Linked DNA regions of Oryctolagus cuniculus. The protein of the gene in region 7 purifies or fractionates together with the protein of the main gene of each other region. This does not show direct contact. Links are inferred from orthologs where the notes say so. Each region holds a gene or a part of one and is shown on either strand. Other genes may lie near its edges.

Evidence for each region.
Region 1: the proteins of CREBBP (region 7) and SP1 purify together in Homo sapiens (affinity purification with western blotting; 5 studies listed by BioGRID, with this or other methods). This does not show direct contact. The link is inferred for Oryctolagus cuniculus from reciprocal best matches to the Homo sapiens genes CREBBP and SP1.
Region 2: the proteins of CREBBP (region 7) and SMARCB1 fractionate together in Homo sapiens (co-fractionation; 3 studies listed by BioGRID, with this or other methods). This does not show direct contact. The link is inferred for Oryctolagus cuniculus from reciprocal best matches to the Homo sapiens genes CREBBP and SMARCB1.
Region 3: the proteins of CREBBP (region 7) and FOXM1 purify together in Homo sapiens (affinity purification with western blotting; 5 studies listed by BioGRID, with this or other methods). This does not show direct contact. The link is inferred for Oryctolagus cuniculus from reciprocal best matches to the Homo sapiens genes CREBBP and FOXM1.
Region 4: the proteins of CREBBP (region 7) and IKBKB purify together in Homo sapiens (affinity purification with western blotting; 3 studies listed by BioGRID and IntAct, with this or other methods). This does not show direct contact. The link is inferred for Oryctolagus cuniculus from reciprocal best matches to the Homo sapiens genes CREBBP and IKBKB.
Region 5: the proteins of CREBBP (region 7) and DYRK1A purify together in Homo sapiens (affinity purification with mass spectrometry; 4 studies listed by BioGRID and IntAct, with this or other methods). This does not show direct contact. The link is inferred for Oryctolagus cuniculus from reciprocal best matches to the Homo sapiens genes CREBBP and DYRK1A.
Region 6: the proteins of CREBBP (region 7) and SREBF2 purify together in Homo sapiens (affinity purification with western blotting; 3 studies listed by BioGRID and IntAct, with this or other methods). This does not show direct contact. The link is inferred for Oryctolagus cuniculus from reciprocal best matches to the Homo sapiens genes CREBBP and SREBF2.

Annotation. Positions count from the first base shown.
Region 1 is NC_091442.1:56,398,434-56,402,675, forward strand, and holds part of SP1 (transcription factor Sp1), read left to right. Parts: intron 1-743; coding exon 744-912; intron 913-4,242. UniProt on the Homo sapiens protein: Transcription factor that can activate or repress transcription in response to physiological and pathological stimuli.
Region 2 is NC_091452.1:30,759,835-30,764,076, forward strand, and holds part of SMARCB1 (SWI/SNF-related matrix-associated actin-dependent regulator of chromatin subfamily B member 1), read left to right. Parts: intron 1-1,844; coding exon 1,845-2,035; intron 2,036-4,242.
Region 3 is NC_091440.1:106,461,081-106,464,143, forward strand, and holds the end of FOXM1 (forkhead box protein M1), read left to right. Parts: intron 1-279; exon of another isoform or gene 280-356; coding exon 357-1,364; 3' UTR 1,365-2,412; downstream 2,413-3,063. UniProt on the Homo sapiens protein: Transcription factor regulating the expression of cell cycle genes essential for DNA replication and mitosis. Plays a role in the control of cell proliferation. Also plays a role in DNA break repair, participating in the DNA damage checkpoint response.
Region 4 is NC_091433.1:92,470,322-92,475,302, forward strand, and holds the start of IKBKB (inhibitor of nuclear factor kappa-B kinase subunit beta), read left to right. Parts: upstream 1-1,827; 5' UTR 1,828-1,995; intron 1,996-2,419; 5' UTR 2,420-2,437; coding exon 2,438-2,542; intron 2,543-4,981.
Region 5 is NC_091435.1:7,445,029-7,449,270, reverse strand, and holds part of DYRK1A (dual specificity tyrosine-phosphorylation-regulated kinase 1A), read left to right. Parts: intron 1-1,015; coding exon 1,016-1,140; intron 1,141-4,242. UniProt on the Homo sapiens protein: Dual-specificity kinase which possesses both serine/threonine and tyrosine kinase activities. Exhibits a substrate preference for proline at position P+1 and arginine at position P-3.
Region 6 is NC_091442.1:117,803,644-117,807,885, forward strand, and holds part of SREBF2 (sterol regulatory element-binding protein 2), read left to right. Parts: intron 1-18; coding exon 19-133; intron 134-865; coding exon 866-1,047; intron 1,048-3,066; coding exon 3,067-3,259; intron 3,260-3,701; coding exon 3,702-3,883; intron 3,884-4,242.
Region 7 is NC_091450.1:31,666,110-31,670,926, forward strand, and holds the start of CREBBP (CREB-binding protein), read left to right. Parts: upstream 1-1,800; 5' UTR 1,801-2,564; coding exon 2,565-2,649; intron 2,650-4,817. UniProt on the Homo sapiens protein: Acetylates histones, giving a specific tag for transcriptional activation. Mediates acetylation of histone H3 at 'Lys-18' and 'Lys-27' (H3K18ac and H3K27ac, respectively).

The DNA.
Region 1 (4,242 bases), on a different chromosome or scaffold from region 7:
GGAGTGAACCAGTTGATGGAAGATCTCTCTCTCTCTGCCTCTCCTCTCTGTGTGTAACTCTTTCAAATAAATAAATACATTAAAAAAAATACAGATAAAAAAAAAAAGTGAAGCAGCCAGGAGTCAAACCAGTGCCCATATGGGATGCCGGCACTACTGGTGGTGGCTTTAACCGCTACGCCACAGCACTGGCCCCAAAAAATTAATTTTAAGTAAAAATCCTTTTTAAGATTTATGAGTGATTGGGGACCAGGATTGTGGCACAGTCAGTTAGGCTGTAGCATGTAACACCTGCATCCCATATGGGTGCCAGTTTGAGTTCTGGCTGCTCCACTTGCAATCTAGCTCCCTAGTAATGTGCCTGAGAAAGTAGCAGAGGATGGCCCAAGTGTTTGGGTCCTGCACTCACATGGGAGACCTGGAAGAAGCTCCTGGCTCCTGGCTTTTGCCTGGCCCAGCCCTGGCCATTGCGGCCATTTGGGGAGTGAACCAGCGGTTAGAAGATCTTTGCCTCTTTGTCTGTCTCACCCTCTCTCTTTCTTTCAAGTAAATTATGAGTGACTGATCACATTTTCATATACTTTTTGGCTGTGTGCATTCTTAAAATTTCAGGTTTGAGTACAGTCAGTGGATGTGGCTTTAAAACTTTGAAGACTTGATACTGTATAAATGTATGGTGTCCCTGGAGTGTTTGGTGCTGTGGTGATGTTCACACTTTCCCACTTTGTTCTTTTTAATTTCAGGTGATCATGGAGCTCAGCTTGGCCTCCATGGTGCTGGTGGTGATGGAATACATGATGATACAGCAGGTGGAGAGGAAGGAGAGAACAGCCCAGATCCGCAACCCCAGGCTGGTCGCAGGACACGCCGGGAAGCATGCACCTGTCCCTACTGTAAAGATAGTGAAGGAAGGTGAGTTGCATCTAAAAAAAAAAAAAAAAAGGCTGCGGCGCCGGCACACCGGGTTCTAGTCCCGGTCAGGGCGCTGGTTCTGTCCCGGTTACCCCTCTTCCAGGCCAGCTCTCTGCTGTGGCCAGGGAGTGCAGTGGAGGATGGCCCAAGTGCTTGGGCCCTGCACCCCATGGGAGACCAGGAGAAGTACCTGGCTCCTGGCTTCAGATCAGTGCAGCGCGCCAGCCGCAATGCACTGGCCGTGGTGGCCACTTGGGGGGTTGAACCAACGGAAAAAGGAAGACTTTTCTCTCTGTCTCTCTCTCTCTCACTGTCTAACTCTGCCTGTCAAAAAAATTAAAAAAAAAAAAAGAAAAAAGAAAAGAAGAATGGATTTCAAAGTAAGAGGAAGAGGGTCAATTTTTTCTATTTTAAGACTCAGTAGGGGCCGGCGCCTCTGCTCAATAGGCTAATCCTCCACCTAGCGGCGCCAGCACACCGGGTTCTAGTCCCGGTCGGGACACCAGATTCTGTCCCGGTTGCCCCTCTTCCAGGCCAGCTCTCTGCTGTGGCCAGGGAGTGCAGTGGAGGATGGCCCAAGTGCTTGGGCCCTGCACCCCATGGGAGACCAGGAGAAACACCTGGCTCCTGCCTTCGGATCAGCGCGGTGCGCTGGCCGCAGCGCGCCAGCCGAGGCGGCCATTGGAGGGTGAACCAACGGCAAAAAGGAAGACCTTTCTGTCTGTCTGTCTCTCACTGTCCATCTGCCTTTCCAAAAAAAAAAAAAAAAAAAAAAGTAAGGGGAACAAATTTCATGTATTTCATATATGCAGATTTAACAGCATGATGATACTTCCAACCCTATTGTCCCTCCTTCCCATCTCCACCTTTTTTCTCTTTTCATTTTTACATTATTATCTCATAAGATATTGGGACTTAATAGGTGCCTGCTTTCACCTAGATATCAGAAAATGGCATGGAGCTAGCTTGTTTGACACCAGATGTCTGCTTTGAGATGTGTTTTGTTTTTTTGGGATTTATTTATTAAAATTTTATTTATTTATTTGAGAGGTAGAGTTACAGAGGGAGAGACAGAGAATGGTCTTCCTTCCACTGGTTCACTCCCCAAATAGCTGCAATGGCCGGAGCTGTGCTGATCGAAAGCCAGGAGCCGGGAGCTTCTTTTGTGTCTCCCACGAGGGTTTAGGGGCCCAAGGACTTGGGCCATCTTCTGCTGCTTTCCCAGGCCATAGCAGAGAGTTGGACTGGAAGAGGAACAGCTGGGACTAAAACTGGCGCCCATACGGGATGCTGGGGCAGGTGGAGAATTAACCTACTGCACCACAGCGCTGGCCCCAAGGGATTTATTTATTTGAAAGGCAAAGTTAGAGATCTTCCATCTGTTGGTTCTCCCCATACGGCCTCAACAGTCAAGGCTGGGCCAGGCAGAAGCCAGGAGCCAAGAGATTCATCTGTGTCTCCCATGTGGGTGGCAGGGCCCCAACTGCATGGGCCATCTTCTGCTATTTTCCCAGGAGCATTAACAGGGAGCTGATGTTCAGATGGATCAGAAGTGGAGCAGCCAGGGCTTGAACCAGTGCTGATATGGAATGTTGGTGTCACAGGCAGCAGCTTAACCTGTTGCACCACAGTGCTGGCCCCTCAAGATGGCTTTAACTAGTTTGCTTGCAAAATAACACGGAAAATTGTACCTACTGTAATGATTTGAGTATACAGTTTTCCATAAAAGTAGACAAAAATGCCAGCTCCAGTTAGAGCATCTAGAGTATCCTGCAGATAAGAATTTTAACAAGTTTTATTAGTAGCGCTTGTTATATCATTTTACCTTTGGAGAATTGTAAGTTATTTTTGTTCAAGTCATTATTTCTGAAAAAGAAAAGAAAGTGACTTAGTCTTTTATCCATTTATTTTATTTATTTGAAAGTCAGAGACAGAGTGCTCCTTTTCACTGGTTCACTCCTCAAAGACAGCAGCCAGAGCTTGGCCAGGCTGAAGCCAGGAGTCTGGAACTCAGTCTGGGTCTCCCACGGGAGTGACAGGGACCCAGGTACTTGTAATGACCTGCTTTCCTCCAGAGTACACATTAGCAGGAAGCTGGATCAGAAGAGGAGTGGGGCTGGAATGCAGACAGGAGATGTGAGTGTGCCACACAGCATCTCAGCCACGAGGCCACATACCTGCCCTTGCTTCGTCTTTTCAGTTCCCTTGAAAAATCTTCCAAAACCTTATCCCAATAAAATAAGCACAAAAATAGCAAAGCAAGATTACCAAAACAGAAAAGTAATGTGAATTCTTTGTAGTTTGTCCTGTATTACAGGACAGACAGAATTGAGTGTCCCTGAGTCAAAAGCACCAAATACAGTACCATTTTCTTTAACAAAACTTAAACCAGTGGGCCAGTTTTGTATCACAGCAGGGCAAGCCACTGCTTGTGACAATAGTCTCCTGTATCAGAGTGCCAGTTTGAGTCCTGTCTTCTCCGTTTCTGACCCAGCTTCCTGCTAATGCATCTGGGAAGGCAGAGAAAGATGGTCCAAGTCCTTTGGCCCCTGCCAGCTGTGTAGGAGACCAAGATGGAGTTCCTGGCTACTAGCTTTGGCAGTTGGGTGTTGCAGGCAGTTGGGGAGCGAACTAGCAAATGAAAGATTCTCTTTCTTCTCTCTCTCTGTCTTTCCCTCTTTCAAGTCTCTCTGCCCTTCAGATAAATAAATAAATATTTAAAAAAAACAAAACACTACATCAGCATTGTGTGTACCCAGTAAAGTTGCCACCTGCAATGCCAGCATTCTATATGGGCACTTGTTCGAGTTCCAGCTGCTCCACTTCCATTCCAACTCTCTGCTAATACACCTGGGAAGGCACCGGAAAACGGCCGTTGGGTTGGCACTATGGCATAGAAAGTTAAGCCTCCTCTTATAGAACATCCCACATGGGCATCAAGTCAAGTCCCGGCTGCTCCACTTCCAATACACCTTCCTGCTAATGGGCCTGGGAAACAGCAGAAGATGGCCCAAGTACTTGGGCCCCTGGGCCCACATGCGAGACTTGGAAGAAGCTCCTGGCTGCTGGTTTCGGATTGGCCCGAGTATACTCTGGCTGTTGCGGCCATTTGGGGAGTGACCAATGGATGAAAGATCCCTCTCTCTTTCTAACTTCACTGTTCAAATAAATAAATGTTTAAAAATAAAATAAAAAATGACAACCAAAACTTCACCTTCATACATTTAAAGAAAAAATTTTGGGTCAGTGTTATGGAATAAAGGGAAAAGGTGCCATCTGACATGAGCATCCCATATGGGCGCCGGTTCTAGTCCCTGCTGCTCCTCTTCC
Region 2 (4,242 bases), on a different chromosome or scaffold from region 7:
GGCTCCTCAGGCCTTCTCACTCTGTGCCCCTCACAGGCAGCTCCAGGACTGCTTCCTGGGCTCACTCAGTTCTTCCTAAGGCCTCCTGACCACAGAGGCTGGGCCCAACTTCCTGCCCCTCCCTGGCTTCCTTGCCCAGGCTCAGTGAAGTCTGAATGCCCTGTGCCCGTTGACATGCCTTGCTTAGTTTCTGAATGTTTGTCTGTCTGTGCCTCTCCTTGGTAGGTTCACAGTCTTGCTTTTGAATAAATGAATGCCCTAGTGACCAAATGGCAGTGGACAGGCAGCAGAGCCCGCAAGCCTGGGCAGGGATGGCTGCTGGGGATTGGCCACACACCGTGGGCCTGTTGGGTCCTGCCTGGAGTGTTCCTAGGGGCTGCCTGCTACTGCATGTTCTTCCTGGGCCCAGCACCCACGTGGTTGGCCTGGCATATGGTTCCAGGTGGGACGGGGTAGCATCTCTGAGTCTGTTCCAAAAACCCAGCTTAATCCCCAAGTGTGAGTGTGCACAGGGACAGGAGGGCCTTGGGAGTCTGCTGCAGGCCGCCGTGCCCAGCTGTGTGCCCTGCACAGACACCATTCCTCTGCCCCTCAGCCTCCTCTTCTGCCCTGGAGCTGTGGGCGCCATTCATTGTGGCCTGAAACAAAGGCCCTGGGGCTATGCTCAGGATGCCCGGTTTGAGATGGGAAAGAAGTAGACAAAGGACTAAGATCTGTGAAGAAAACAGGTGGACAGTGGGGAGAGGGCTGGTGGGGAGCAGAAGTCTCAGGACTTGGCACCCCAGCCACAGCCAGGAGACTGAAAAGAGGCTGCATATGCCCAGGTGAAGGGAAGAACATTCCGGTAAGCGGAAACTGATGCAAAAGGCTCAGCCGCACAGGACTTCCTGGATGCCGGCAGGAGTTGGATGCTTTGACTTCTCAGAAGGGCAGCAGAAGTCCCCAGGAGGGTTGGGCTATGAGAGCAGTGGCTAGTTCACCATGAGGCTGCCCACCTGCCACCGTGATCTTCGTCTTGCTAGAGACAAGAGTGAGTGGGCAGGTACTCCATGACCTGCTCACCCAGCAGAACACTGGACAGCAGGGGAGGAGCTCACAGATGTGATGCTGAGGGAGTGAAGTCAGTCCCAAGGGGTCCCTCCTGCGTGATCCAGTGATGACCAGTTTCAGAACAGGCACAACTGACCAGGGAGTGGGGAATCAAGGGACATGGGTGTGGGTGGGAGCTCCTGGGTGCCAGCTTCCCACGGACCCACTTCCCAGGTATTCCCCAGGTGTACATGCAGCGCCTGGGCCTCTCTGTCACCTGCCCACAGGGGTCTACTTGCATGCTGCTCTCCCCCTTGGGTCTGGCCTGTCACCTGGCCAGGTTGGCACACGGTGGGGGTACATCTGGGAGCATGCTTGGTGAAATGATTTTGAGAGGGACGTAGACAGTGGACCAAGATAGGGGTTCATGGATGTCTCTGGTGAGGGACACTTGAACTGAGCCCTGCCTGTTAAAGTCACACAACGGTGGCAAGCAGCAGGAAAGAAGGCCCCAGCCAGCATGGGGGATGGGGATGGAGATGAGGTGGACCCAGGTACCCTCAGGGCCTCCCCAAGCATGACTGCCCAGCTCTTACCTAGAGCCCCTCACAGCAGTCAGCAGGTTTATGGGGTCAGCCGTTTGCAGATAGAAAGTTGGAAGGGCAAGGATCAGCTCCAGTTCTCAACTCTTTGAGTTGTGGGTAGGCTCCACCCTGGGTCTGGGGCTCCAGCGTGGTCTGTCACACCTCCCAGCCACCTCCCTGGGCTGGGGGCGGTGCTGCCTGCTCTGACTTCTCTTCTGGTCCCTGCCATAGCTGAACATCCACGTGGGAAACATCTCCCTGGTGGACCAGTTTGAGTGGGACATGTCGGAGAAGGAGAACTCGCCAGAGAAGTTTGCCCTGAAGCTGTGCTCGGAGCTGGGGCTAGGCGGGGAGTTTGTCACCACCATCGCATACAGCATCCGGGGACAGCTGAGCTGGCATCAGAAGACCTACGCCTTCAGGTAGGATCGGGCACAAGCTTCTCTCTCCCTCTCCTGCAAAACCGTTTTGGGGAAAGACTTCTCCAGAAGCGCTGACACCTTGGGACTTTGCCTCGATTCACAGTGTAGGCGGACTCTAGTCTTGGCAGGGCTCCCCCGGCACAGCCACAGAGGTCAGGGATGGGAAGTGCTGAGGGTGCAGACTCGGTGCCCAGTCAGTGTGGCCTTGAAGTTCCCACCCCTTGCAGCCCCTGTCCCAAGTGCTAACTCTGAGCTGCCAAATACAGGCCAGGCCATCCCCAGTCACGAGTGTCAGGAAGGGAGGCAGCTCACCCTGTCCCTGCCTCCAGTGTCAGGCTGGATGCACAGTGGCCATGTGACCAGAACACTCCAGCTCAGGGGCCTGTGGGTCAGGGGAGGCCTTCCGATCCCAGGGAGCTCAGTGAGTGGGGAATGAGAGTGGTTTTTGTCCTCCTCCAGGGCTGCAGGAGCAGGGAGGGGCCTGTGGCATGGACCCCTGGCTCAGAGCGCCTTTCTTGTTGGGAGTGCCTGGGGTGGGGGACGAACGTCAGAACGGGATCTTGGAGTTGAGTCTGCTCAGTTGACTCCTCAGGGGCACCATCCGACAACACAGGGGCTCATCTCAGCTGTTTTCCAGATGTCTGTCTCAGGGCTTCCCGTAAGTCTGAGTGAGGGAGCAGGAACGGAGGCACACCCACCACCCCATGCTAGGCCCCGGGCCTGGAAAGCAGCTGAGCCCCTCGGGGCGCAGTGCCTGGGCACATCCGTCACATCCGTCACCTGCACTGACCCCTCCTGCAGCTGTGCGGGCGAGTGGTTCTGCTTCACCAGGGGCCAGCCCAACGAGCTGAGGAAGCCCACCTATGGGTGCAGCTGGTCAGAGTCTGGGCTGGCTCTGAGGTCCTGGAGGCGGCGACGTCACGCGGGCCCTGGGAGTGACGTCAGTGCCCAGCAAGCACCTCCTCTGCCTGGTGCTAGATGCTGTGAGAGGCGACCTTCTCCTGGGTCTGCAGCAGCTGCCCCGCCACAGTCAGGACTCAGGAGGCAAAGGCCCCGCGGCCTCTTGATCCCAAGCTCCCTGGGATCGGAAGGCCTCCCCTGACCCACAGGCCCCTGAGCTGGAGTGTTCTGGTCACATGGCCACTGTGCATCCAGCCTGACACTGGAGGCAGGGACAGGGTGAGCTGCCTCCCTTCCTGACACTCGTGACTGGGGATGGCCTGGCCTATATTTGGCAGCTGAGTCAGCACTCGGGACAGGTGGTCCTGGCGTCCACCAGCACTCAGCTACTTTCTGCTGTGGCCCCCGGGCGACCCGAGCCATTGGCCTAAATTCCTTGCCAAGCTCCTGTCCATCTGCTCTTCGCAGAGTGGCTCCACAGCAGGCTCCCTTGGGAGTCCCTGGTGGTGGCAGGTTGGGACTTACAGTCAGGCCCATCCTTTATCTCAGTGACCATTTAATGAATTCCAGCTGCGGGGGCTGGAAGCAGCACAGACTCCTGTCCCTCTGCGGTCTCCAGTGCTGAGTTTGCAGGTTTCAAATCCTTGGCCTAAAAGGCCAGGCCACCCTCTTGGGGCCCAGGGCGAGTGCACGTGCCCTGCATCACAGCCAGGCAGGACAGGGACCTGCCCGTGGGCCTGCAAGGTGCTCCCAGTGCCTCCTCTCGCCTCAGGAGGGCTGGCCTGGGTCCTCGCAGTCAACCAAGCACAGGGCCCAGCCTGTTCTGTGTGCTGTGTCTGGGCAGCCAGGAAACTGCCCACGCTTGAAGGGAGCTGGCAATCACAGCCTGGGGACCCTAGGATTGATTGAAGGCCAGCTCATGCTAGACTTCACATTCCAGGGGCAGAACTGGGACCCACTGCAGTGTCCCCTAACCCTGGCCTACACTGTACTGCCCCACCCTGTGGGACTTAGAGCAAGGGACCTCTTAACTGTTTGCCAGGGGAGATCACTGTCAGCCTTCTCTCTACCCTTTAGGTCCTGCCTAGAGGAATGAGAAGGGGGTGCTGAGCCCCCAGGGCCAGGCACTCTCAGCAGGACCAGAGTGTGGCACCTGCTGACTCTTGTCTTTGAGAGCAGTGTTACATTCAGGATCTCTGCCACGCTGCCTTGAAAGTGCTCTGAACAACCACACTCGAGTTGTGCCTGTCTTGCTCTAGCCTACTGCCTGGCTGTCATCCCCCTCCTTGGTGACAGGGGCCTTGGAT
Region 3 (3,063 bases), on a different chromosome or scaffold from region 7:
TTTCAGGATTTGTATGGTTTTAAGGTTTTAATCTTTACGTTTACTTCTTTGTGTATGGTGTAAGATAAGCATCGACTCTGTTTTCTCTCGGCTGGATACTGATTATGCCAATACCGTGTTAAATACTGTCTTCTTTGACCCCTGGAACTGAACTGCCTTTAACATGTTGGCTCATCGCTTCTCGGTCTTTTGGCTAAGATCAAGTGTAGCATGTTGGCTCTTCTCGTGTTTAATAAGACTTAAGAAAGACAAGAAAGAGGCTAGGCCCCAGAACCTCACCTGTGTGGTCCTGCTTTTGTGCCCTGCCCGGTGACGGTTGGCCCGCGAGAGCTTCCTTGCCTCTGCTTCCCTTCTAGGTGCTGCTCGCTGATGAGGAGGTCGCCCCCGCTGCCGCTGCAGGGCCCCTGAAAGAGGAGAAGGACCTGCCTGGGGAAGGGCTGTCTCCCCTGCTCCCGGTTCAGTCCATCAAGGAGGAGGAAATCCGGCCAGGGGAGGAGGCACCTCACTTGGCGAGGCCCATCAAAGTGGAGAGCCCGCCCTTGGAGGAGTGGCCCTCCTCGTCCCCGTCTTTCAAAGAGGAGTCATCTCACTCCTGGGAGGATTCGTCCCACTCTCCCACCCCGAGGCCCAAGAAGGCCTACAGCGAGCTCCAGTCCCCGGGCCGGAGTGTCTCGGAAATGCTCGTGATCAAACGAAGGCAGCGGAGGGAGATGAGCCGGTCTCGAAGGAAACAGCACCTGCTGCCCCCCTGCGTGGACGAGCCCGAGCTGCTCTTCTCCGAGGGCCCCAGCACTTGGCGGCGAGCAGAGCTCCCCTTCCTGGCGGAGTCCTCAGAGCCCGCCTCCCAGGAGGAGGCAGGGCCTTTCAAGACCCCCATTAAGGAGACACTGCCCATCTCGTCCACTCCAAGCAAATCTGTCCTCCCCAGAACCCCCGAGTCCTGGAGGCTCACACCCCCAGCCAGGGTTGGGGAGCTGGAGTTCAGCCCTGTACGAACCCCCCAGGGTGCCTTTGGCCCCCTGCCCGACTCCCTGGGGCTGATGGAGCTGAGCACTACCCCGCTGAAAAGCGTTCCTCTCTTTGACTCACCCCGGGAGCTCCTCAATTCAGAACCCTTTGACCTGGCTGCTGACCCCTTTGGCCACTCTCCCCGCTCAGAAATGGAAGCCCCCAAACCAGGCTCCCCAGAGCTGCAGGTTCCCAGCCTTTCAGCCAATCGGTCTCTAACGGAAGGCCTGGTCCTGGACACAATGAATGAGAGCCTCAGCAAGATCCTGCTGGACATCAGCTTCCCTGGCCTGGAGGAGGACCCACTGGGCCCTGACAACATCAACTGGTCTCAGTTCATTCCTGAGCTGCGGTAGAAACCCGACCGTGCCCTGGCCCCTCAAGCTGCCCACCACTGGAGGCACCGCTGTGATAGGGAGACCCAAGGCTTAGTGCACGCCAAGCCCTCTGAGCAAGGACAGCAGGCGGGGATTGATCTCGGCTCCACCTGGCCTGATTCGGCCACGGCGGCAGTCACACCTTAGCCACTGCTGCTGAGACCTCTGCCAGCAGTCGTGCCTTGGGAGCTGCCCTCCGAGCCACTCGTGCCCCCCAAGCCACTCGTGTCCCCCAGGAGCACCTGACTCCCGTCCTCTCCCTGCCAGGAGCAGAAGGGTGGGAAGGACAAAAACCAGGGGGGTGAGAAGAGGGTGAGAACACCACAGCCACGCCCATCCTGTGCCCAGCAGTCTCGCCTTCTCTGCTCCTCACAGGGTGGCTGCTGTGAATAGTGTCAGTTCTCCAAATCGTCCTCTAATTATAGACGTGGGCTTATTTCCTTAGACCGCTGTGTAGAGACTGCCAGGAGAAGGGCGTAGGAAGACGAGGGTTTTCAGTTTGCTTCTGTTCCATGCTTTTGGTTGCTAGAGAAGGGAGGATGTGCGGTGCATGGTTTCTTCCAGGCCCAGGGTACCTGACTCCAGGCTTCATCACCATAGGTGCCCAGACAAGCAGACCTGCCTGCCGGGGGCCCTCTTCCTGCCCCTCCCTCCCACCTCCCCGTGTTTCCAAGTCAGCTTTCCTGCAAGAAGCAATCCTGGTTGAAAAGGTCTTTTGCGATGGTTTTGGAGTTGAATTTTGGGTGGGGGAATGGAGGCATCTGAGGCAAAGGGTGTGGGTACCCAGATAAGCCCCCATGAGATGTTTCTCTGATAATGTCCCTAATCATGCCAGGGAGATGAGCATTGACCAGAACTTGGGCAGAGGGCGTAAGAAGGCTGAGAGAGCCCCTAACGTGCCTGGCTTCCTTAGCTCGCACCTCAGCTTCGCAAAGAGCCACCCTGGGCCCCAGCTGACTGCATGGATGTGAGCCAGCTCAAGAACACTACTGTACCTACCTACTCAATAAAACCCAGGCTGCAAGTGCTGGTCTGTGTGGTCTGTTGGTGCCTGGCCCTTTTGGGGTGCAAAGGGCTGGGAAAGAAGGGGGGTGCTGGCAGGAAAGAAGGGAGGTCATGTGAATCCCTCCCTGCACAGGCACACGTCCTTTCTCACACCGACATTGCTGATTAAAACTTGGGCCTTTGGGGGCTCCTTAGAGAAATCCCGAGAGGAACAGGCCCCCAGAGCCTGAGGGAAGGATAGGCCCAGTTCCAGGTGCCACTGCCAACTGAGGCCTGGAAGGCAGCCTGCCCTGCCTCCCTCCTCCCCACATCTTCCTAGGCAAGTCTGTCCAGAGGCAGCTCTTGTTACCGTCCTCTGCGGTCTGAGTGTATGAGGGGCCAGCGCCGTGGTTCAATAGGTTAATCCTCCGCCTTGCGGCGCCGGCATACCAGGTTCTAGTCCCGGTCGGGGCGCCAGATTCTGTCCTGGTTGCCCGCTCTTCCAGGCCAGCTCTCTGCTGTGGCCCGGGAGTGCAGTGGAGGATGGCCCAAGTGCTTGGGCCCTGCACCCCATGGGAGACCAGGAGAAGCTCCTGGCTCCTGGTTCCTGGCTCCTGGCTTCGGAACAGCACGCCAGCCATGGCGGCCATTGGAGGGTGAACCAACGGCAAAAAGGAAGACCTTTCTCTCGTCT
Region 4 (4,981 bases), on a different chromosome or scaffold from region 7:
CATCATTGATTTATCTGCTGGTTCACTTCCCAGATCCAAAACACACCACAACGTAGTGACATGAGGCCTTATCAGACAGATTTATGTTCAGTTGAAAAATCAAGTATTTTAGCTGAGCAAAATAAGAACTCTTTTTTTCTTCTTTGAAATTTATTTATAGAAGGTGAACAAATGTCACATATTTCAACCAAGAAATCATAAACAGCAGTGGCACAGTACTATCAGTGGATGCCTCGTAAATTTCTCCGGGACAGGAATTTCAGAGAACTGTTTCCCCAACATCACCCAGGAAACAGACTCTATGAGTGCCCAGCACACATAGGTGCTCAATAAACGTTTTTCTTCAAAATTGTGTTTATTAAAGAAACACATTACATCTAGGTCACGCCAGGCACAGTTCCACGTTTTTGACCACTGTTTACCCATGGTTCTTTTTCATCCTGACCGTGCCTGCCTCAGCCCTGAGCACACCTGTTCCTAAGACTTGGCGTCGATCTCTGGATGGGAGGCACCTCTGACCAGGACCCCTGTGTTGCTCCTTGGGCATCTCCTGTCTGACCTGTGTGCCTTCCTGTCCTCCCACTGTGAGGCCAAACCAGATGGAAACTGCTGCTCTTGGTGGCTCGCATTTCCACTGTTCCCGATTCCTAGAAAAGGATGATTTCATGCGATTTAACCTCCATTTTGAGAAGAGATGTATGTTTACACATCAGAGGTGGGCAGTTAACTGTCTGGACTCCAAATGCAGTCTGCCTTCTTGGCTTCTTAGCACACAGCCTAGTATCATCAGTGAGACCTGGGAACCAGCTGCTTGGGTTCGTGTATCAGTGGCTCTGTGGCTGCGGCATGGAAGACTTTTTCTACGCTGAGCTTGTTTTCCCACCTGCAAAATGGGATGGCAATAATGTGGTATTGTGCAATTGGTAAGGCTGCCAAAGCGTTGAGTAAAAAAATGTTTAAGAACAGAGTTTAGGGCCGTGCCTGGAGTTGTGAATATTATCCTCCTCAGGTGTCCTTTATTTATTTATTTATTTATTTGAAAGTCAGAGTTACAGAGAGAGGGGAGAGGCAGAGACGGGGGTGGGGTGTGGAGGGGACAGAGAGAGGTCTTCCATCTGCTGGTTCACTGCCCAGACGTCTGCAACAGCCGAAGCTGCGCCGATCTGGAGCCAAGAGCCAGGAGCTTCTTCCTGGTCTCCTACGCAGGTGCAGGGGCCCAAGGACTCGGGCCATCTTCCACTGCTTCCCCAGGCCACAGCAGAGCTGGATGGGAAGTGGAGCAGCCGGGTCTCAAACCCGCTGTGCCAGGCCCCCTCAGGTCTCCTTTAATACGTTTTTCCTGCTTGAGTAAAATACATGCACACCGTCTCCTCACAACAGTGAGAAGCAGATGAGAGAGGAGCGCGGGCTGAGGGCCTCTCCCCCATTTCCCCAGTCAGGACGCTGAACCTCGGGTTTAGGCGCACGCTGGGGCCAAAAGCATTTCCCTTCCTTTCCTGTGCGCGCTGCGTCACTTCTGAGGACCCCGCGCCAGGCCCGGGACGGCGCTCCCGGTAAACAGTCGTGCTGGCGGCGGGCGCGGGAAGTTTCCCGGTGACTCCCCGGTGAAAGCCCGGGAGCGCCGCGGGGGGGGCTTCCGTTTCAGGGCTGCGCTCGCCCCCCCCGGAGAGCACACTCGGCCCAGCACCCTCCAGAGTCGTCCGGGCCTTCCAAACAACCGCCCCCCGCCCCACAGCTGGGGTTCCCGCGCTACAGGCCTCAGGAGCAGGCCCGGCTCGCGCGACCGCGGCAGGGCGCGGCCCCTTTAAGCGCGGCCACGTGGTCCGTGACGTCAGGTCAGGAAGTGTTTGAGGAAGTGGCGCTGGGCTGGCTGGTTTAAGGTTCCCGCATTTTCATGTCTTCGGTGGGGGGGTGTCAGAGCCCCCCGTGTGGTCCCCCGGCCCCCGCGTCCCCAGCCCCGGGAGCCTGGCCCCCGCCCCGCGTCCCCGCCGACAGGTGAGTCCCGCGGGCGGCGCAGGCCCCGGCCCCCCACAGACCCCAGGTCCGCGTGGGTGCTCGCTCGGGGGCTCCCCGCCTGTCTCCCCACGGAGGCCCCGAGGAACCCCGGCGTGGGCGGGCAGTAGCGGTTCGCGGCGCGCACGCGCCGTGCCGCTGCGGGTGGGGGTCGCCGAGCCCAGGCGCACGGGCGGCCGGGCTGGCTGCGGACACGCGTGACCGCTTGGCGCGCGTGGCCGCCGTCCGGGGAGTGGCCCTGGGGGTGGAGCATCGTCTCCCTGGGGTGACTTGGGGGGTGGGGAAGACCCCAGACAGCGCGACCGACCTTACGACCCGGTTTCTGGACACAAATGAAAATCAGTTCAGCTGCTCGGTTTCGCACTTTAACCTTTTGTGCCCCGACTCCACCCCAAATTCCTTACAGACTTAACAGGACGTCAGCATGAGCTGGTCGCCTTCGCTGCCAACCCAGACCTGCGGGGCCTGGGAAATGAAAGAACGCCTGGGAACTGGGGGCTTCGGAAACGTCATCCGCTGGCACAATCAGGTAGGGCTCCCGCAGCCTCGGCTCCTCCCTGCTCGCACGGCTGGGGCCTCCCCTTGGCCTGGCCTTCCGGAGGGAGTGAGAAGGGGCAGTGGCCAAGCTCAGCGGACCCATCTAGACTTTGATCCCTGGGCCGTGTTGACCGTGCCTCCTAAAGAAGTATATATTCAGTTCTGGAGCTATGCTGAGGTTAGGATATTGTCTACCAGCACACCATGTACCGGTGTGTTCCATATTCTAAAACATACAGAGAAAATTTTTAAGGATGAAAATAATCAAATATTTACTTATTTACATTTGTATTTCTAAAGATTTATTTATTTATTTGGAAGGCAGAGTTACAGGGAGAGGTAGAGAGAGAGAGAGAGAGAGAGAGAGAGAGAGACGGGTCTTCCATCTGCTGGTTCACTCCCCAAATGGCTGCAATGGCCAGAGCTGGGCCGATCTGAAGCCAGGAGCTGGGGGCTTCTTCCAGATCTCCCATGCAGGTGCAGGGGCCCAAGGACTTGGGCCATCTTCTACCTGCTTTTCCAGGCCGTAGCAGAGAGTTGGATTGGAAGAGGAGCAGCCGGGCCTGGAACTGGTGGCCATATGGGATGCTGGCGCTGTAGGCAGTAGCTTTACCTGCTATGCCACAGCGATGGCCCCTCAAGTATTTATTATTGAAAAATTTATAATACTTAAAGTATTTGATAATTATGTCTTCCCACTGTTGCTAAGCACTGTACAGCACAAAACACACAGATTTGCATGACAGTGAGAACTATCACATTGTTAATGAGTGAAAATTTTGTATTTCGATGACTTTTACAGCTTGGAGTTGTTTGGGTTGACTTCTTTTTAGATCTGGGTAGAGTCTCATCGACTTTACCCCTCAGGTGTCTGGCTGAGCTTCTCACGGGGCCAGTGTCAGTTCTGTCACATGTGCAGGAAGTACATGCACTGAAGCTCTCCTCAGGACTCGAAGCCCATGTTTGTTGGGTGAGCGTCGCATTCATAAATTGAGTAATGCATTCCCTAATTCTGCCTGAGAGGGGCACAGGTGACCTGCACAGATCTCCACAGGCCCCGGGCCACCCCAGCCTTGTGGGATGCCCACTTTCCTCAGTCCCAGAGGGCCACATGGTGCTGCTCTGAGAGGGTTGCTGTGCAGTTAGTACTAGAAAAGCTTAATTTATTTTTTATGTTTGTGGATCCCAATTTGTAGGAGCCCTCAGTTACCAAATAGCTACAGTGAGCTCCCCACCACTGCAGTCCTGGAAGGGGATTTAATGCAAAAGTGGCTTTCTGCACTAAAGGGATGGCAGATTGCAAACCCCCCCTTTTTTTTTCAAGATTTATTTTTATTTATTTAAAAGACAGAGTTACAGAGAGAGGTAGACAGAGAGAGAGAGGTCTTCCATCCGCTGGTTCACTCCCCAATTGGCTGCAACGGCTGGAACTGTGCCGATCCAAAGCCAGGAGCCAGGAGCTTCTTCCGGGTCTCCCACAGGGGTGCAGGAGCCCAAGGACTTGGGCCATCTTCTACTGCTTTCCCTGGCCACAGCAGAGAGCTGGACTGGAAGAGGAGCAGCTGGGACTAGAACAGGCACCCATATGGGATGCCGGCGCTTCAAGCCAGGGCTTTAACCTGCTGCACTACAGCGCCCGCCCCAGATTGCAAACCCTTTTTGGGAGCCTGGCTGCAGCATGCAGAAAGGGTCATGGAGGCTGGCCATATCCAGGTCGCTCCAGGCAGACATGGAGGACAGTTCTGAGTGCTGTCGGTTCCACGAGGATGGAAGGACCCCGGAGGAAGGAGACTGCGGGCCTGGGTGGTAGGCTTCTCACAGCCAGCTTGGAAACTGGGATTCCCGCAAACCTATGACTGGGGAGGCCTCAGAAATGTAACCGTCTTAAACTCGTCCTGGTCACAGGACAGCCAGGGTCAGATTCTTCTCTGGCCTCCCTGTACCGGCCTGGGCTGCTTCTAGACGGCTTAGTTCAGAACTGGAAACAGCCTGAATTCCTTCAAAACAGCGTTCCATGCAGGCGTACCATGTGCCTGTCATCTCCGGCTCAGAACGGCCTCCCTGTGCCGCCTGCTGGGAAAGCTGCTGCCACATGGGGTTTGTTTCCGGCCTTGATTAGGGCCCAGGAATGTGTGTGGGGGTTAGTGCTCCCAGTTACCACCATGCAGGTCTTCCCTTGTTGTAAAGCCTTAGTTGTCCGTAAGACCGACTCCTCCAGAGTCCAGCGTCGCTGCTGGCTCCCGCGGGCTGGTCTGCTGAGCACTCCTGTGGGACAAGCCCCTCTCCTCAGAGCCTTCGCATGAATTCTGCTCATCTCTCCAGGAGCAGCGCTAGACCACTTCCTCTGTGAGCCCGTCACGAACTGCTTCGCTCTGTGGGAAGCGGTCCTTCCACTGAATTCTTTGTCACCATGCGTTTTGACATGCCTCAT
Region 5 (4,242 bases), on a different chromosome or scaffold from region 7:
GTGGTTTGTTGCAAATTCATCTCTCTACTGGATCCCTTGTTTAATCACGCACAAAATAAAACCTCCTTGGTAGTTGGAAGCAAGTATTTATTAGCCAAGTTTTATCTTATGTATTTGAAAGGCAGAGAGACAAAAAGAGATCTCCTATAAACTGGTTCAATCCCAAAATACTTACAACAACCAGAGATGGACCAGGCTGAAGCCAAGAGTCAGGAATTCTGTCTGGCTCTGCCACATGGGTAACAGGGACACAACCACTTGAACCAGAAGCTGTTCCCACCTTGTATGTTCCTGTTAGCAGGAGGCTGGTGTGGAGAACAGAGCGGGGTTTGCACTCTGACACTCTGATACGGGATGCAGGTACCCCACGGGATGGCTTAACCACCGTATCGAATGCTCATTCCTGAATTCTTTTTCTAATGAAATTGTTTTATTCACATCCTTTAATTTTCCTGTAATTGAAACCAAACTTGATTGTATTTTGATTCACTGGATTTTTTTCAGAGATTTATTTTATTTATTTGAAAGAATTACAGAGTGATCCATCTGCTGGTTCACTCCTTTAATGGCCACAACAGCTGGACTGGGCCAGATCAAAACTAGGAGCCTGGAACTCCATCCGGGTCTCCCTCATGCGTGGCCGGGGTCCAGGTACCTGGGCCATCTTATGCTGCTTTCCCAGGTGCGTTAGCAGGGAATTGGATTGGAAATGTAGCAGCTGGGACTGGAAGTGGCTCTCCTGTATGATGCTAGTGTTGCAGCTAACTACTTAACATGCTGTGCCACAATGCTGGCCCTGGCTCAGTGGTTGATTTGGGAGAACTTAGAGAAACTGATGACTTTACGATATACTTTAAAGTTAATATTTAAATTTTTTAATTATAAAAAATTTTTGATTGGCAGTCACTGTACCTATTTGTGTAGTGTGATAATTTGATACATGTATACTATATGCACTGCTCAAGTGTGCTTTGAGTTTTAAAGTCACAAGTTGCTTTGTGTCGTGGTGTTGAAGGTGGATCATCGGGGACGAGCAACAGTGGGCGAGCCAGGTCGGATCCAACACATCAGCACCGGCACAGCGGGGGCCACTTCACGGCCGCCGTCCAGGCCATGGACTGCGAGACACACAGTCCCCAGGTAAGCTCTCACGTCGCCCGCGTTGGACGCAGAGGCTCTAGAATGACTCCCTCATGTGCCCCTGTTTGTCTTGTGGAATCTGGCTCTTGCAGCGCCTCTCCTGTGAAGGGCTGGCTGGTGCTGTTGGGTGTGCACCTGTTGTCCCGCATGCTTTCTTCCTGTGTTCACCTATTTACTGTCTCAGCGACGTCTGAGACTGCCTGGGTTAGGTGACTTTCCCTGATCCCCATCTTAACTACTACCCCTCTGCCTTCCAGGGCCTGGTACTCGTCATACTCCTGGATTCTGAGTCTGTGTGATAAGATTTTAGCCCATGTTTTTGTCTATGCTTTTTAAACCTTTTAAAGAAGTAATGTTTAAAATTGGGGTGAGGAGGCAGATGGTGATGGTGAAAATATTTAAATACTCCTGTAAAGTAGTAAGTTAGTTCCCCCTGAGCCTTGCTCTGTGACATGGGAGGCCAGCCTGTAGTTCCGGTCACTGCCCACTCCCCAGACTCGGGCTGAAAGTGCTGGCACAGCCGGGAGGCTCCCAGGACGCCTCCAGTCACCATCTCTCTTCCTGCCTCTTAGCAGTCCTTGCTCCCCTTGCCTGGAGAGGGAGCTCTGCCTCCGTGTGTGCACTCGACCACATTTCTCCCTCACCCTCCCCAGCGCTGGGGCGGGCCTCCTGCTCCCCTGTCGCCCGGGCTTTCTTGGGACTGTGCTCTTGGTCACCCTCTCTACCCTGTTCTTGGCCTCTCCCTCTTATTTCCTGTTGATCAACATTTGATGAAACCCGGTCTCTGCCATCTTGAGCAGAACCTCTGTCTGACTGCCTGTCTCTCTGACTCTGCCTTCGGCCACTGTCGTCTCCGTCTCCTCACCGGCTAAGGTCTGCCACATTAGTGTCCTGCCTCCTGCCCCACTGCCACCCTTGAGTCCAGTGGACGCCTAATGCCATCTAATGTTTTGCTTCCTGGCCATGTTGGATGCTGTTGACTTCTCCCTGTCCTCTGAGGGCCACCTCTGGTTTCCATGGCAGAATGTCCACTACCCCCACTTCTCCGCCCTCTGCTTCACTGACCCGGCTTGTAGCATCTCCTCTCCTGTTCCCCTGGACACCTGGCGTTTCTGGAGGTCCAGCCTGTGACCCGCCCCTTCTGATGACTGCAGTCACCACCACGTCTGTGATTCCTAATCTGCTTCTGGCCGAGATTTCTTCCCTGAGCCCCAGTGCCTTTATTTCTGAGTTTTTAAAGATTTATGTATCTTCATTTTACTTGAAAGGCAGAGAGACAATGAGACATGACAAGAGCTGTTCCACTCGCTGGTTCACTCCCCAAATGCCTGCAGTGGCCGGAGCAGAGCCAGGCCAAAGCCAGGTACTTGGGCCATCTTATGTTAGCACTCCATCTGGGTCTCAGACTCACGTGGGTGGTAGGCCCTGAGTGTTTGGCTTTTCTGCCTCTCATACCCTCTCTAGCATTCTGCTGAGTCGTCGTACACCCAGTTCCGTTGGCCTGTACCACCACTCTCACCCCTGCAGCCGAGTGAGGCTGACCGAGCAGACTGAGCTCACTGTTCTCTCTGCGTTGAACCACTCTTCGCCTTCCCCTTGCACCTAAAATGCAGCTCAGACCTCTTGCCAAGGTGCCCAGGAGTCCACGCCCTGGGCCCATGCAGGCTGCTCCTCCTCCTTCCCACTGCACTCACACTGCTGCTTGTGTGCCGCGTGTCACGGCTCTTCCTCTGCTGCCTGGGCCAGGTCTCGGCCTGGGTGCTCTGTGCTGCTCAGTCTTCTGCTCTAGGTCTTGACTTAGCATCGCTCCTGCCAGGGACTCCCCTGATTCTCCATCCTTCCCCCTTCTCAGTACAGCGAAGACGGAGACACCAGGAGCACCCACCCGTGTGCCTCCCACTCCTTCATTGCTCAGTGTCTGGACGGTTGATGCAGTCATGGTGAAAGGCAGTCAGTTTTATGGAGGACTCCATGAAGTTGGCCTTTGTTCCATGTCCTCTAGCCACCCAACTCTAATAAAAACTAACATTAATTAGGGTTTTGTAGCCATTTTTGGTATCTCTTATGCATACACCAGCAAGTATGATTGTCACCCAGTTTCTGTACACAAATAGTAACACACCATACACTCCTTTTAACATCTTAGTTTGTCCACATTTGATAATATATTTTGGAGCTCTTTTTTATTTTTTTAAATATTTATGTAATTATTTGAAGGAGGGAGTTCTTCCATCTGCTGGTTCAGATGCCTGCAATGGTCAGGGCCAGGCCAGGCCAGGCGAAAACCAGGAGTTTAATCTGGGTGTCCCACGTGGGTGGCAGGGGCCTAAGGACTTGGGCTATTTTCTAGTGCTTGCGCAGGTGCAGTAGCAGGGAGCTGGATTGGAAATGGAACAGCCAGGACTCGAGCTGGCGCCCGTGAGGGTCTGGCGCCCTGGAGCCCTTCTTTGTCAGTAAGAGACAGGTGCTGCAGCCTTCAGAGGGCTGGGGGCGGAGTTGCAGGGTTCTACACTGTTTAGATATTCTCTAGGTCGTGCTGCTGTTTCCCTGTTACTGAATATTTATTTCATTTCCAATATTTTTTTACTATTATAAATAATGGTGCAATCATCCAGAGTATCTCAGTTCTGGGAGACTCAAAAAATTCATGGAAACTGCCTGCCCCGAGAAAAGCATGCATGGATTTCAAAAATCATCTTTTCATTTCGTTTTCCATGAACACAAAAGACCTCTCCATAGAGGCACACGTGTAAGTGCCCTGTGGTGGGGATTGCCGGGTCAGGGGTAGTGTCAGCTCCAGGAGTCGATGCCGAGTTGCCTCCCACGTGATCGCCCATTCAGCGACTGGAACGGCTGCAGCGTTTAACGTCCTTGGCAGTGGTTCTCCCATGTACCTATGGTGAACTGTGGCCCAAAAATCTAAAATGGAAAATTACTGAAACGGTGTGTAAGTTTGAGATTCTGCAGCATTCTGAGTCGTGTGCCGGACTCTCGCCAGCCTGTCTGGGACCTGTGTCATTGTCTCCTGGCCGCATCCGTGCCCCGGGTGCTGCCTGTTCGTGAGTCCCTCGGTAGGCATCTTAGTGTGACAGGTGCCACTCA
Region 6 (4,242 bases), on a different chromosome or scaffold from region 7:
CCCTGCCTTCCTTCCCAGATGCACAAGTCCGGCGTTCTCAGGAAGGCCATTGATTACATCAAGTACCTGCAGCAGGTCAATCACAAGCTGCGCCAGGAGAACATGGTGCTGAAGCTGGCCAATCAGAAGAACAGTGAGTACGCGTGATGCGGGGTCGGCCTCCCGGCTGCGCGCTAGGCACTAGCCCGCCCAGGGGCCCTGGAAACTGGTCACAAGCTGGAGTTTTCTTGGTTTTGAAGCTGTATTTTATTTATTTGAAAGGCAGAGTTACAGAAGAGAGCTTATATCTGCTGGTTCACTCCCTAAATGGGTGCAACAGCCAGGGTCTAGCCAGGCCAAAGCCAAGAGCCTGGAGCTCCATCTGGGTCTCCCCCGAGGGTGCAGGGGCCCGAGCACTTGGGCCGTCTTGTGCTGCTTTTCCAGGTGCATTGGCCGGGAGCTGGATCAGAAGCGGAACAGCCAGGGGTTGAACCAGCGCCCATATGGGATGCAGGAGGCAGCTTACCCCACTGTGCCGCCATGCCAGCTCAACAATTTATTTCTTTATTTGAGAGACAGAGTGACAAAAATGAAGAAAGAGAGATGTTCTGTCCACCAGGTTACTCCGCAAATGGCTACAACAGCCAGGACTGGGCCAGGCCAAAGCCAGTAGCCCAGAATTCCATCCAGGTCTCCCAAGTGGGGGCAGGGACCCAAGCAATTGAGCTATCATCTGCTGCCTCCCAGAACGTGTCAGCAGGAAGCTGAATCGAGAGCGGAGCAGCCAGGACTCAGCACTGGCACTCCGATGTGGGAGGCAGGAACCCAAGGAAGCAGGTGGACCCCTGGGCACCTTGTTCGCCTCTCAGTGGCCTTTTCTTTGCAGAGCTCCTGAAGGGCATCGACCTAGGCAGTCTGGTGGACAGCGACGTGGACCTGAAGATCGATGACTTTAACCAGAATGTCCTCCTGATGTCCCCCCCGGCCTCCGACTCGGGGTCCCAAGCGGGTTTCTCCCCCTACTCCATCGACTCAGAGCCGGGAAGCCCCCTGCTGGATGATGCAAAGGTACAAGTCTGACCCCTGGAAGTCCCCCTCCCCCAGGGCCACAGTGGGGAGGCGGGGAGCCTGGGCCCGGTGGGCGGGCCAAGCGTTCAGAGGGCGTGGGCCGGAGAAGAGCTGGAGTTCTGTGAAATAGCCAGGTCCTGGAGAGCAGAGGGGAACTCCCTCAGGTTTGACTGGTCCCCGCTGAAAGGCCCTTTCAGGAAGCAACGCGTGCCAGATCCAGAGCTGGAGCCCGGAGCGCTGTTCACGGGCACTGGGATTTGCCGGAGGTGCCTTGTGGCTTCCCTGGGCCCGTGGTGGGCCTGGCAAGACCACTACACCAGAGGCAGAGCCACTGGTTTAGGCCAAGGCTGCCTCTTTCTGGAGATGATTCCAGTTTGCAGTCTAACAGGTCACATCGCAACCAAGAGCTTTTAATCCTCAAAGACAGCCTCTGGCGATTGTATCTTAATGGAACTAGTTAAGAGAAGTTCTGAGCCTAATGAGCTTCGGGGAAGCCTGTGGAGACCCCTGGGTTCCACGCAGCATTTTGACGTTGACAATTTGGCTGCAGAAGCAAAGTTGCCTCTGGTGTGTGTTTATTGTAGCAGGCATTCTCCGTTGTCCATGTATTGTACAGATGTGACAGTTTGGCAACAACAGGCCGTGCGGCGTATGAGATGCATTAGCTGAGGTTTCTGAATCATCAGAAGGCATTTTCAGATGGTTTTAGCATTTTTGGAGCCGTGTGCTCTGCACACTCGGGGCTCAGGGAAGATCTGCGCCAGCCTCCCTCCCTCCGCGTGGACTCCCGGGGCTGGTGGGCTCAGCTGTCGTGGAACAGGCAAAATCCTTTAGGCAGGTCCACGCGAAAGTATGGCCTTTAATGCGCTTTACTGAGGTATGACTTCATGCAATAAAAATATATCTTTTTTAAATAGAAATATTTCCTTATTTATTTGAGAGGTAGAGTTACAGAGAGAGAGGAGGAGACAGAGAGAGAGGTCTTCAGTCTGCTGGTTCTCTCCCCAAATGGCTGCAACAACTGGAGCTGGGCTGATCTGAAGCCAGGAGCCAGGAGCTTCTTCCCAGTCTCCTACATGGGTGCAGGGACCCAAGCACTTGGGCCGTCTTCCGCAGCTTTCCCAGGCCATAGCAGAGAGCTGGATCAGAAGAGGAGCAGCCAAGACACGAACCAGTGCCCATATGGGATGCCAGTGCCTCAGGCAGAGGCTTAGCCTACTTTGCCACAGTGCCGGCCCCAAAATATATCTTTTTTTATTGTTCTTTCTAAAGATTGATTTATTTATTTGAAAGGCAGAGAAACAGAGAGACAGATCTTCCATCTGCTGCTTCATTCTCCAAATAGCCTCAATGACTGGGGCCGGGCCAGGCCAAAGCCAGGAGCTTCTTCCAGGTCTCCCATGTGGGTACAGGGACCCAAGCACTTGGACCTTCCTAGGTGCATTCGCAGAGAGCTAGATCGGAAGTGGAACAGCTGGGACTTGAACCAGTGCCTCTATGGGATGCCGGTGCGGGAGATGGCAAATCTACCCACTATGCCACAGTGCCGGCTCACCATCTACAGTCCTGGGAGTTTTCCAGACATGCGCAGCCACGTAACTATCAGCACAATGAAGATGCAGACATTTGAATTGCCTCTGGAAGCCCTGGCACACCTGGCAGGTGGCTCCCACACGTTGGCCCCCAGCCCCAGGCAGCCACGGTCCACTGGCCATCTGGCCCTTTAGATTCTCCTTCCCTGTCCTGGAATCGCGCAGGAGCAGAACCATCCAGTGTCCTGTTGGGACTGAGCTCTACCCCAAAGAAAATCGCTTCCGCTCCCGCTGTCGGGAGCATGGTCTCTTCTCGGCCCACCGAGGGAGAGCACACCGTGTGTGAGCAGCGCTGTGTGAACTGGGCTTCCCGGTTCGCTCCTGGCTGTTTCCTGTCTTCCCTGGTGGTCTGTTTCCTGGCGTGTATACGAGGAAACTGCCGCGAACCCCCACAGGACGCATGCCCACCTCCCGGCCCTGTTTGCAGGTCAAAGATGAGCCGGACTCCCCCCCTGTGGCGCTGGGCATGGTGGACCGCTCCCGCATCCTGCTGTGCGTCCTCACCTTCCTGGGCCTCTCCTTTAACCCCCTGACCTCGCTGCTGCAGTGGGGCGGGGCCCACGACACCGACCAGCACCCGTCCTCCGGCTCCAGCCGCAGCGTCCTCTCCTTGGAGTCAGGTAGGCTGGCTGGGCAGCCGTGGCGGGAGGACTGCGCGCAGACCGTTCGCTCCCCTGGTAGATCCCAGGTGCTGTTGCGGCCCCCTCTGCTTGCTGCCTACAGGGACTGCCCAAGTCCCGTTTTAGAAGTAAAAGGCAGACGCACGTTCAGGTGGAGAGGACAGAAAAATGAGGAACCTGCCATGCAGGAGTTCCTGGGAGGGGGCGGGGGAGGGGGAGTGTGCCTGTCTGCAGGGGGAGGGGTGGTGCGTCTCGGCTGAGTTGGAAAGCCAGCGTCCTGATCCTCTGGGGCTAGCAGAGATGCGTGTGGAGCTCAGTGTGGCGGTGACAGGGCTACAGGAGTGCCGTGTAGACCATGGGCCGCCGTGGGGCAGAGGCTCTGGCATTCACTCCGGGGTCCGTGGGGCCCTTGCTGAGTGCACCCCCACCCCGCCACGCCCAGGTCCCACAGGCTGGCTTGACTGGGTGATGCCGACGCTGCTGCTGTGGCTGGTCAATGGGGTCATCGTCCTGAGCGTCTTCGTGAAGCTGCTGGTCCACGGGGAGCCGGTGATCCGGCCACACTCGCGCTCCTCCGTCACCTTTTGGAGGCACCGGAGGCAGGCGGACCTGGACCTCTCCAGGGTGAGTGCTGTCCACCCTCAGCTTCCTCCACAGGCTCCCTAAGAACTCGGCAACCTGTGTGGAGTCCGGTGTGGGTGGGTCCTGTGGGAAGGGCTGTGGTACAGATGGCAGGGGCCCTGCTCCTGGCAGGGGTGGACGGTGGGTGATCTCCCATCCGTGCTGTGCCATGGGAGGAATCAGGTGCCGTGGCGGGTGGAGGCAGTGCAGCCGCCTTCTCAACGGGGGGATCTGAGGCTTGGCAGAGCGCTTGGGGCAGGCAGAAAGGTGGGCGTGGCAGGAGGGCCTTCCAAGCCAGGGCTGGGGACCGTAGTTTGTGCTAAGGGCCATCTGGGTATTCGTAGCATCATCTGGGAACTATA
Region 7 (4,817 bases):
CATGGAGATCAGAAAGTACCAGAAGTGGCCGCGGTGACGCCGCAGCATCCCAGGGGACAGAAAGCCCTGCGCAGCAGGTATGTTTCAGGCGGAGCGTGCCAAGGCAGAAGCTCAGGTTGGAGTGAGGACCCCGACCGCAGGCTGGGCCCCGGCTGGTTCAGGTCACTGACCTCTAGCCGTGGGGTTCCACTTCCCTCCGTTCTTCTGTCAAGGGGCCACAAACGTGCACCACGGCTGCCCAACAGTGTGCAGACGCCTCCTGGCCCGAGAGTCACTTGCTAAGGCTCGCTGGGGCTACATGGCGTCTGCACTGCCCCCAGGTAGGTCCTGGGGAAGGTCCCCTGGGGGCTGGACACCCTGTCCAGTCTGGAGGCCTCCAGGACCCAGGGGATCCGAGAGTGTTTATCCCTCACCCATTCATTCACCAAATTTTACATGGCTACTTGTTGGCCACTGTGCTGTCACTAAGAGAAGGCTTGGCCCACAAGGAGCTCTGGGCCCCACACGCTTCCTGCCTGTTCTGTGCAGACTGACTTCCTGGACAGTCCTCTACAGGAGTTAACTCCCCGAAAGTGCAGGGATACCTGACAGATACCTGATAGATAAACAGATCTAGGGGCTGCCTGGAGGAGGTGACATCTGAACTTGGAGGACCAATTAAAAGTTTAGCCAGGCCTGAGTGTTCCCAGTCCAGGGCAGAGCAGGCCTGATGCTGGCAAACATCTGGTGGCCCGGCGGGTGGCGAGCAGGCCCGAGGGAAGTCCTGCCGGGCTTGCCACCGCCATCTTACGCCCTGCGTGTTTCCACTATGTTCTTTGTAGCGGAATTTGCCAAGTTTTCCACGGACAGGAGGTAGGTAGCTGTTTCAAACAGGATCTTTGCTTCTTCCGGGACGTCCACCAGCGTTCCGTGAGGAGAAGCGAGGATGCTTAGCGGGAACTTGGCCAGGGCAGCCGGCGGACGAGGCGGACAGCACCGGAGCCGCGGGTCCGCGTCCCCAGGGAGGCGAGAGGGCGGGCCGGCGCGGCGCGGTCAGAGCGGCCGGAGCCCCTGAGGGGAGCTCGCCGTCCGTCCGTCCGGGGCACCTGCAGGGGGCGCGCCCCAGAGCCCCGAGGGGAGGCGTCGGCCCTGGGGCTCCGTCGCCTCGGAGTTGGGGAGCGGGGCCCTGGGAGTCCCGTCTGCTGCTTCCCGCCTCGGTGACCTTGGAGAAGTTGCTCGGGCCCTTCCTGCCTCAGTTTCCCCTCTCTGCCGCCGCCCGACGGGCAGCGGGCCGGAGCGTGGTCTGCAACCCGCAGGGCCCAGTCCACACCTCCGGCAGGCGGCGAGAGAAAAGTCGTCCCCGGCCCCCCCTCGCCCGACGGGCAGGGGACGCGAAGAGCCGCTGAGGCGCGGCGGCTTCCCGGCGGGACGGGCGGGACGGGCGGGCCCGCGACCTCACGGCGCACGCTCCCGGAACCCGTGCCCCCGCGGCCCGGCGCAGTCAGAACAAAAAGTGGCGGCTGGGCCCGGCGCCCTCGCGCCCCACAGGCCCGGCCCCCGCCGGCGGCCGGTCGCTCGCTCGCTCGCTCGCTCGCTCGCCCCACGCACGGCCGCCGCGCCTTCGGCCCTTCCGCCCGAGCGCGCTCGGCTCTTTCCGCCGCGGCCGGCGCAGGTGGAGGGGGCGGGGCGGGGGCCGTGCGTGGTGACGCTGCGGGGGGGTGACGCACCGGCGTGCCCCGCCCCCTCCCCCTCCCCGTTCAGGCTCTGGAAAGAGAAGAAAAAAAACTTTCTTTTTTTTTTAATTGAGGAATCAACAGCCGCCATCTTGTCGCGGACCCGACCGGGGCTTCGAGCGCGATCTACTCGGCCCCGCCGGTCCCGGGCCCCACAACCGCCCGCGCACCCCGCTCCGCCCGGCCGGCCCGCTCCGCCCGGCCCTCGGCGCCCGCCCCGGCGGCCCCGCTCGCCTCTCGGCTCGGCCTCCCGGAGCCCGGCGGCGGCGGCGGCGGCAGCGGCGGCGGCGGCGGCGGCGGCGGCGGCGGCACGGGGGTGGGGGGGCCGCGGCGGCGGCGGCGACCCCGCTCGGCGCATTGTTTTTCCTCCCGGCGGCGGCGGCGGCGGCGGCGGCGGGCCGCGGGCGGCGAGCCGAGCCCGGAGCCCCCTCGTCGTCGGGCCGCGAGCGAATTCATTAAGTGGGGCGCGGGGGGGGAGCGAGGCGGCGGCGCGGCACCATGTTCCCGGGGACTGCCTGAGCCGCCCGGCCGGGCGCCGTCGCTGCCAGCCGGGCCCGGGGGGGCGGCCGGGCCGCCTGGGCGCCCCCGCCGCGGAGTGTCGCGCTCGGGAGGCGGGCAGGGGATGAGGGGGCCGCGGCCGGCGGCGGCGGCGGCGGCGGCCGGGGGCGGGCGGTGAGCGCTGCGGGGCGCTGTTGCTGTGGCTGAGATTTGGCCGCCGCCTCCCCCACCCGGCCTCGCTCTCCTCCCCTCGGCGCCCGCCCGCCCGCCGGCCCGCGCTCGCTCGGCGCTCGCTGCTGGCCCGCGGCCGGCCGGGCCCCCGGCCCTGCCGCCCGCCTTCGCGAGCAGGTGAAAATGGCCGAGAACTTGCTGGACGGACCGCCCAACCCCAAACGAGCCAAACTCAGCTCGCCCGGCTTCTCGGCGAATGACAGCACAGGTGAGGAGCGGGCCGGGGGTGTGGGCTCGGCGGGGCGGCGTCCACCCGAGGGCGGCGGACGGAGCCGGGAAGTTCGCGGGCAGCCCGCCTGTCACCGGGCCCGAGGGCGCCGCGCTGGCCCGGGCGCGCCGGGCTCGGCGGAGTTGGCTGCTGTGCCGGCCCGCGACGCAGCCGAGCGGCGCTCGGGATAGGGGGCGCGGGGCGGTGCGGGCGGACGCCCCCCGCGGCCGGCGCGTGGGCGGGGGTCGCGGCCCCTTGCCGCGGTTTCCCCCGGGGCCAGCCGCCCTCTCGGGAGTTAGCACGAAGAAGTTTCGTGGAATGTGTGCCTCGGAAAAACGCGAAGCAGTTATTTTGAAAACTCTTGATCTTTTTTTTCCCTCTCTCTCTCTCTCTCTCTCTGGTGGGTGGGGGCCGCCTTGTCATTCCATTTTTCAAAAACCCGGCCTTCGTTAGGAACGCGTCTGTCATCCGAGCTGCCGTGGCGTGTTTTCACTTACACGCTCAACTTTCAAAGAAAGTTGGCGGATCCTGCGAGTCGTCTGGGCTGCGGCAGCCTCCGCGGGAGCTTTGCTGCTCTCCGGGGTGGGTGCGCGGAGAAGTTGGGTTAAGCCGTGTAGGAATCCCGATGTTTCGGAAGACGTACCAGCAGGATGCTGACTAAGTCACCCACCCACCCGCTATGAAGCAGCTTCCCTGGGAACCCGGGGATCTGCAGGAGCCCGAGAGGTCGCGCGGCTCGCGGGGCGTCCTCCCGGAGCGCCCTCCTGCAGCCGGGCTTGGGAGCGCCGGTTCTCGGCGCGGTCGGTCCAGTGTGGCAGCATCTGAAAACCAGTTTCCGACGAATGGGCGAATGGAATTACACCTGCTGCTCGCAGGCCCCCGGCGGGTGGAAGTCTTCCTGTGACTGGCCACTAGTGTACTGAGGAGCCTGTGCGTGTTCTGGAAACTGAGTTTTGTGGCTTCAGTGTGGAATCCGGTTATGACAGTGGCTTGTAAGTTAGGGAAGGGGTCTAAGACGGTCGGCCTCAGGAGAGTGCCTGGTTAACTTACAGGGTGTTGCCTGGTCCGGGGAGTAGTATGGGGGCTCCCGAAAGTCAGGCAGGGTGCTTTTCTCTTGAACGGCTGGCGGCTGAGCTGGGCTCTGGTTTTAGGAAGGGGACGCACGGGGTGAGAGGTGTGAAGCCGCGCGGTGCACACCCTCCTCTGGGCCCGGCCCTGCAGCCTGCCCGCCCGGTCAGCTCGGAAGCCTCTCCAGTGGCCGCTGGCGTGCGTTTTAGCGCTGCTCTTGTTGGACTTCTGCACGGGGGGGGGGGGGGGGGGACTGAGAGAGACTTGTGCTGCTGTGCACAGAAGGGGCGTGGCCTTTTGGGGTGGCTTCTGTTGCCGGATAGGCCGGGGGATGTGCTGCCAGTCGGACAAAGCTGTTACGGGAAGGGGTTCCCCCAGGTACCCACTGCCTCTCCGTGTCCAGTTTGGGCCCTCGTGAAGCACAGGGCTGCTGAGCTTTTCCAAGTGTGGAACAAAGTCTGTTTTAAAGAATACGAATAATGAAATAACTACTCCAGCTGGGTCGTGAGTTACACGTTTGTCACAGTCACTGGTCTGGACGGGTGTGTTGGTATGGGGACCAAGGACTCAGACGGCTAAACAAGGCACACTTGACAGTAACTCCTAGTCTGGCATCGGGTGCCGAGATGGACATGGATCTTGGTGTCTCTTAAGTAGATAGGTGACTAGGGTATTTACATTCAGTACATTGAAATGATGGGAGAGAGACCTGAGAAAGTAACATTTTTGAGATTTTCAGCCCTATTTTGGTGAGATTTGGGCCGGGTGGTGCAAGCATTGGCCCTGCAAACGTAAGAACCGAGGGAGTGGAATGGCCGGTGTGCCGCGAACCTGAGCACCAGGTCAAGTCTCAGCTGCTCCGCTTCCCATCCTGCTCCTTGCTGTTGTGCCTGGAAGAGCAGAGGAAGATGGCCGGGTGCTTGGGCGCCTGCCACCCACGTCACAGCCCTGGATGGAGTTCCTGGCTCGTGGCTTTGGTCTGGCCCAGCCCTGGCTTTGTGGCCATTTGGGGAGTGAACCAGTACATGAAAGTTCTCTGTCTCTGTAACTCTGATTTTGAAATAAACATATCATTTTTAAACAAATTGAGGGATGGGCGC